2 linked regions of the Sus scrofa genome follow. The protein of the gene in region 2 purifies or fractionates together with the protein of the main gene of each other region. This does not show direct contact. Links are inferred from orthologs where the notes say so. Each region holds a gene or a part of one and is shown on either strand. Other genes may lie near its edges.

What was found.
Region 1: the proteins of CCT2 (region 2) and NEDD1 purify together in Homo sapiens (affinity purification with mass spectrometry; 4 studies listed by BioGRID and IntAct, with this or other methods). This does not show direct contact. The link is inferred for Sus scrofa from reciprocal best matches to the Homo sapiens genes CCT2 and NEDD1.

Annotation. Positions count from the first base shown.
Region 1 is NC_010447.5:86,727,183-86,730,833, forward strand, and holds part of NEDD1 (protein NEDD1), read right to left. Parts: intron 3,034-3,651; coding exon 2,917-3,033; intron 250-2,916; coding exon 109-249; intron 1-108. UniProt on the Homo sapiens protein: Required for mitosis progression. Promotes the nucleation of microtubules from the spindle.
Region 2 is NC_010447.5:33,861,365-33,865,015, reverse strand, and holds part of CCT2 (T-complex protein 1 subunit beta), read right to left. Parts: intron 3,602-3,651; coding exon 3,525-3,601; intron 3,406-3,524; coding exon 3,293-3,405; intron 2,590-3,292; coding exon 2,387-2,589; intron 944-2,386; coding exon 843-943; intron 640-842; coding exon 512-639; intron 1-511. UniProt on the Homo sapiens protein: Component of the chaperonin-containing T-complex (TRiC), a molecular chaperone complex that assists the folding of actin, tubulin and other proteins upon ATP hydrolysis.

The sequences.
Region 1 (3,651 bases), about 53 Mb from region 2:
ATACACCTTCCTTTCTCCTTGTTTTTGTTCCTATGATTTAAATTCACTCTTACACAAGAATTAAAAATCTATATTATCAACTTTATTTTGAATAAACCCATACTGTACCTGGTTACTACCATGGCCAAAAGGAGTACTAGATAAATTAGTGGTTACACTGTGCAAAATAATTTCACCACTGAGAGATCCAGAAGCAATGTAGCAATCATTCCAATTATATGTTACACAAGTTACTTCATCTTTATGATCCTGAATGAAAGAAATGAAAGTAAATACAGTGCTATACAACCTTCAAAGAGCACATTTTCATGTTTTTGTAAATTGTATGTTTTGTTAAATACTATGTATTTGTCAATCTAATATCTGCTTTAACATTTTCCTCAAATAATCTAAAAAAAAAATTAGTCAAATGAGTAGTAAATTATCCGATCAACATCAAATCTTTTCAGGGAACAAAGATTTGTATTTCATAACCATAATAATGATTGGGCACTCTGAAACAAGACACCTAAAGGAAAGGTAATTTTCTAAATGGCATTCTACCTACCTTAAAGGATTCACTTCCACTGACAAGTAACATTTATTTCAAGTTGACTATTGTGAAAGTCCCGGCCTTGGAGAATATTAGTACACAGGTGAGAAGACAGGACATTTAAGTGAACATGCAAATGGCAGAATGAGTGCTAAATGAGTGGCAGAGACAAAGTGTCAGAGGAAAGAGAAAGACCAGAGCTGACAGAGGAAGCTTTGTGGAAGACACAAGGCTGGAGTTCAACCTTCAGCAGGAAATTAGGGGAAGGAGAAAGAAACCGACCCTGCAAAATGGAAAAGAGTGTAAAACAAAAGCCTCGAAGCCAGAATGAGCCAGACACAGTTGAGATTTGATGCTTCCATCTGCTGAGCACCAGCTAAGGTTAGGCATTTTACATATTACTATTAATCTTTATAACAATCACTTTCCCCAATTTATAGGCGCGTTAACCAAGGTTAAGAAACCTGTGTAACCTCACACACGTGTTAACAATGCGTGAAGGAAGGTGGCCCTCTAAGAATTTCAAATGATGGGAAGAAAATAACTATCTGGAGTAACTGAGAAAGCTTAGGATGGAAAAATGAGTAGAATTTTGCCATGTGGTAAGGAGGAGGGGAATGAGTGACACTCCTAAAATGTGTGACACTGTGTGACAAAACTGGCTACAGACTTCAGATCTCAATTCTTTACGATATTCTCTATTTAGACTCAGTATAGCCCCCTAAACAGCTTTAATTCAATTATTTCATAACTGACAAGACTGCACAATGAATAGATTATCTGCGTGCGGAGCTCATCTGCCATTACTAGTTGCTGGACACTGAACAAGTTCTGTACCACCTCAGCCTGAGTGTCTCCATTTGTACTCACGAATAATACTACCTGCTCTGCAGGGCTACTGAGATACACAGAACAAACATGACAGGCACAGTGGCCGGAATACCAAAGAACGCAGTAAAAGTGAAGTATGCTCGTTATTGGCAACTTTTTAATTTTCCTGAAGACTCTTCAAAGTTTAGCTAATACTTAAAATAATGAACTTCCAAAAGGAATATTTTAAACAGCAATCATAGACGTTATTTCAACTTAGCTAAGAGAAAACCATTCTTCTATATACTCTATCTCTAACAAGTAACTCAGTGACATTAAGATACACAACAAAACGATAATGATCTCTGGTATCCGCTTCAAAATGCTCTGAGAGTCTGAGGATGAGCGTGGATAAGCACACAAAGAAAACAATACTGGCCAAGAGCTGCTCATCACCGAAACTGATCGTGATGACCACACGGATAACGGGTTAAGGGAAGTTCTTTCTCTGTGTATAGGCGTGTGTGTGTGTGTGTGTGTGTGTATGTGTGTGTGTGTGTGTGTGTGTGTGTATTCATACACACACATACACATATGTTTAAAATTTTGCATATTAACTTTTTAAAAAGACACGAAAATTAAAAGTAATTTTAAAGAACTTCCAAATATTAAAAGGACACAATAATAAAAAAGAGAAGTCCAAAAAAAAAAAGTCACAACCAGAGGCTTCCATGATGTTTACTTTCATTTTCTGAAACGGCAAAAAGCTAACTATTTAAAGAAACACTGATTGTAAAGAGTTAATTATTTTTGGAGTTGCCATTGTGGCTCAGTGGTTAGCGAACTTGACCAGCATCCACGAGGATGCGGGTTCGATCCCTGGCCTTGCTCAGTGGGTTAAGGATCCAGCGTTGTGAGCTGTGGTGTAGGTCGCAGACGCACCTGGGATCTGGCGTTGCTATGGCTCCAGCGTAGGCTGGTAGCTACAGTTCCAATTGGACCCCTATTCTGGGAAACTCCATGTGCCACAGGTGTGGCCCCAAAAGTCAAAAAGACCAAAAAAAAAAAAAAAAGTAAATTATTTTAGAAACATTTCATTATCAAGATAAAAATATACACACACAAAAATAATACAAACAGTAGTAAAGAATTAAGAAGCCAAATTCCCAACTCTGATTGCTAGATTGAAGACTGTCATCCCAAAACCACTGTAATTTTTTCAAAGTGCCTTAAAAAGATTTCTGGTTGACAACAAACCTTTTCTTTCACTTTCTTTTTTTTTTTTAAATGAAAGAAGTGGTTCACTTGAACAAGAGTAGAACAAAGTGGAAAAAATAATGTTTTAAACACCAGCAATATATCAATATAGTGACATACATGGAGGGGAAGATAAACCAAAAAACCTTAAGTTTTTAGCTAAACAGCATCTTTTCCCTAACAAATCTCACTTCAATTCTGAAGAAGCTTATTTTTATCATAAAAAGTTAACATTAAAAGTCTGATAACCAGTCCTAATAAACACATTGTGGGATATCCATTTCTGTAAGGATTAAAAGAAAAAAAAGGTTGCTTACCTTAAGAGATCGATGAACTCTTTTTGATTTTAAATCCCAAATATTAACTGTGTTATTCAGGCCTCCACTTACCAAATACATAGATGTTGAATTTAAACTGACACATGTCTGCTTTTGCTATTAAAAAAAAAAAGTCTCATTAATATAACAGAGCCCAGGAGTTCCCGTTGTGGCTCAGAGGAAACGAATCGGACGAAGAACCATGAGGTTGTGGGTTCGATCCCTGGCCTCACTTAGTGGGCTAAGGATCCGGAATTGCCGTGAGCTGTGATATAGGTCACAGACACAACTCGGATCTGGCATTGCTGTGGCTCTGGCATAGAGTGGCAGCTACGGCTATGATTCGACCCCTAGCCTGGGAGCCTCCATGTGCCAAGGGTGTGGCCCTAAAAAACAAAAAAATTAAAAAACTTAAAAAAATAATAAAATAAATTTAACAGAGCCTAGAGCTAACTTTCAAGTCTCATCCAACACTTAAAACTAAGCGCATGACGGGAGTTCCTGTTGTGATTCAGTGGGTTGAGAACCCGACTAGAATCCATGAGAATGCAGGTTCGATCCCTGGCCTCGCTCAGCAGGTTAAGGATTCAGCACTGCCGCAAACTGCAAAGTAGATTGCAGATGCAGCTTGATCCTGCATTGCTGTGGCTCTGGTGTAGGCCAGGAGCTGTAGCTCCAGTTCGACCCCTAGCCTGGGAACTTCCATATGCCTCAGGTGCAGCTGTAAAAAGAAAA
Region 2 (3,651 bases):
GAAACTAGAAGACTATACACATAAACGCCAACTTAATAAAATAAAAAATTCTGAGAGAACCCTGTTTCTTCTTTATACTTTCTTATTTCCCCATATGAGCACATGTTACTTTTACAATAGGGGCAAAAAGGACATCTATTTAAACAGTTTGTAAACTTTTCACTTCTCCATTGTTTTACTCCTAAGCTATCATTAGCTTTTTGCTACTTCAAACTCCCATCATTTAATGGTGAATTAAATCCCTCTTCCAAATATTATAACCAAAACTAATAACACAACTGCCAAATCAGAAAACTTTTGTCACTGTTGACACAAAGTTTATTAGCAAAGTATATTAACATAAAATTTCACTAAAATCACTGTAATGCAAATGCCTTGCTGAACAATTATATTTGGAGAAAAACAACACTTTCTAAATAACAACTAAATTCAATAGGAAAGTATTTCCCTAAATCATTGCAGAATAAAATCCTTTTTTGATTACAAACATTGTTAGCATGAGCACACAGACCTGTTAATAAAGCAGTTTATCCCATGCTTAAGAATACGTTCAACTTTCTCCTTCATTTTTTCCTTTTCTGCATGTTCTATTTCTGCAACCTTTGCTGTAGAATCAACTCTCACCCTGGAACCAAATATCTAAGACAAAGGATAAAAAAGCAGCATCATTTTCATTACTTGTAAGTTTCATGGCATATTTGGCATATTTAAACTCTTAAGTGTAAAACACACCCCAAACTATGTGTACAGTCATATACATTCTTTCTTTTTTAGTGCAACTGATTCCCCCCTGAATTTTTAGCAGCTAGCAATTCGAATTCCTAGAAATGTAGTTAACATACCTTTATTTTATCTGTATCCATACCAGTATTTGCAATAAGAATTTTAGCATTTTCAATTCGCTTTGGTTGATTTACTCCAATTTTTTTATCCAACAGAAAGCCTATAATATAAGGACAGCATTGTATTAAATACTTTAAGACTGTCTTTAATAAATCTTTTAAGGTATTTGCTCAAATTACTCTATCATTTTAGGGCGGCACATGGAGGTTCCAAGGCTAAGGGTAGAATTCGAAATGTACCCGCTGACCTATGCCACAACAACACTGACCAGGTCTGCAATCTACACAGCTCATGACACTGCTGGATCTTTAACCCACTGAGCAAGGTCAGTGATCGAACCTGTGTCCTTTGCCTAGCAACTATACTTGAATAAAAATTAATTTTTAAAAAAAGAGTAAATGGAGCACTTTTGAATATGTCTCATAATATGCAGGTGTGTAGGTTGCAATGTAAAGCTATTAAGTCCACTTTCTTTAGCTTAAAACCAACACACAAGAAACAAGCTGTGAAGATTCAGATGCACAGGATGAAAGGCCATGAACAGCAGACAAACTTGGCCCGAACCATGCTGTTTACCAGAAATGTATGCAGCCTTAAAACAAACTATTCAGCCTTACCTACTCATCTATAAACAGGACTATCACCAGCAGTAGAGATGCAAGTTACCAGCCTAGGGTTCTGCTAATTTGGAACTATCAAACAAACTTGGTATGCCTATCCCTCCAAGTTTCTTTCAGATGCATATGTAACTTTTACCTTATTAAATCATTATAAACTTGGGTTCACTGCTCTATTCAGCTCAACTTAATTCTCACTGGATGTTGACATGAGAAAGAAAAGCGATTTTAAGTAAAATTCCCATTAGAATGCATGACATGGGGCAGGTGTTCAAGAATGGTACTCCCATGAAAGAGACACAACATGCAACAAAACCCAACTCCAAATCACTGATAAAGCCGAAACCGTAAAGTACAACTTACTCCTTTTTCCTTCTCTACAGAAGAAAATGCCTATACTGTCTACAGACTGTTTTGTGAAGTAAACACACAAAAGATGCTTTGAAAAATTCATACACTATTGTTAAGGAAACAGCAGTTGCTAAGACTCATTTACTGCTCTTCAAGAACACCAGAAACTATATCCTCAACACCCGCCAACTAAACAGTATGATTTACCCAGACCCTTCCTGGAGAACACACATAGTCCTGAAAAAGGTGCCATTTGAAAATAACTGACGTCTAGTAAGAGAAAACTACAACTTCACTTTATTAGAGACTGTACCTTAACTCATGGTATAAAGTAAAACCTAGAGGTTATCAAAGAAATACTGAGGTAGAATGAGAAGATGAAGTAGCATGTTGTTAATGTAACAAATGGATTAAGAAGACAAAAATGGTTGGTTGCAGTATGATTTGTGTCCTAAAAGACAAGTTTTCTGGCTTTGTAAAGTACCATTCGCCCTGATTAACTAAAAGAGGATTTTGTCAGTACTTCACTTTCAACATGTGATTAACACTTCTTTGAGCATATTCAACATACATACCTTCATCTAAATAGGAATCTGCCAGACTTCCTCCGAGCTTCTTGATGACATGAATTGCCTCCAGATTACCAGAGCCTTTCAGTCTGAGAACAGCTTCTACAGCTAACTTAGTGAAGTGGTCTTTGTGGTGAGTGAGAAGTTTTGAGGATAATGTTGTTCCTGCAATGTTCATTAAATCTTGACGGAATTTAACTTCATCAGATCTGCAAAAACAAACAAACAACCCCCCTCAGGCCTATTCTTAAAATGCTTCTCCAAAGTTAACAACTGTTTTGTTTTTCAAAATGTATTCAGACACGTGTCTGTCAATATACTTTCAGCAAACAAAAAATTCAAGAACATAAGAGGATTATACAGCTAGTGGAACTGTAAATTAATAAATTTTTTTCTGGAGGATTACTTGTAAATAACTATGCCTTTAAATACATACATACCTTTGGACCCAGAAATTGTATATTCTTTAAAAAATAGTAAGTTCATAACATTATAAAGCTAAAAATTATCAAAATACAAATCTCCAATTACAGATAGGTAAATTACAGCAAAGTTCATCATCAAATGCATACTTCTACTGAAATACTACAGAGATACTGACACCCAGAAACATGCTTGTTATTCAACTAAGTTAAAGAGGCTAAGAAAACCCTCTAGATGAGGATACTATTTATTTTGCTTATTGTGATTATATATGCAAAAAAACTGGAAATCCAAACTTTAACTTTAGTAGTGACTACCTCTGGGTAGTCACTCTGGGGGTAGTATGGGTTTTTTGGTTGTTAAGGCAGGCCTTTAAGAAACAGGATCATGTTGGTGTATGCTTTTCACTGTTCCCTAGACTTCCTGCCTTGAGAAAATTTTGAAAAGAACAGTAAATGTTTGAAACAATAGTTATTTTGGTATACCAACCCATGGTCAACTGCAGAATTCAACAGAGCCTGTCTTGCTGCCTTGGTGGCTTCTCTCCAACCAGCAATAATGGTCTGTGGATGAATCTTTTTTGCAATTAAAGATTCTGCTTCCTGTTAATAAACAGTGGAAAAGGTGCATCAACAGTAAATTTGTGGGAAAAGACTTCCGATACTCAAAACCATAGTAATTAAAAACCCCAGTAAGACTGAAGTTGCTCATTTAGTCTTACCCTTAGTAATTCAGCTGCAAGAACAGTAACAGAGGTAGTGCCATCGCCAACTTCATCATCTTGAACCCTTGACATGTCTAGGAAAAAAAAAATGCTACTTATTAACCCACTTATATTTGATTCTGCT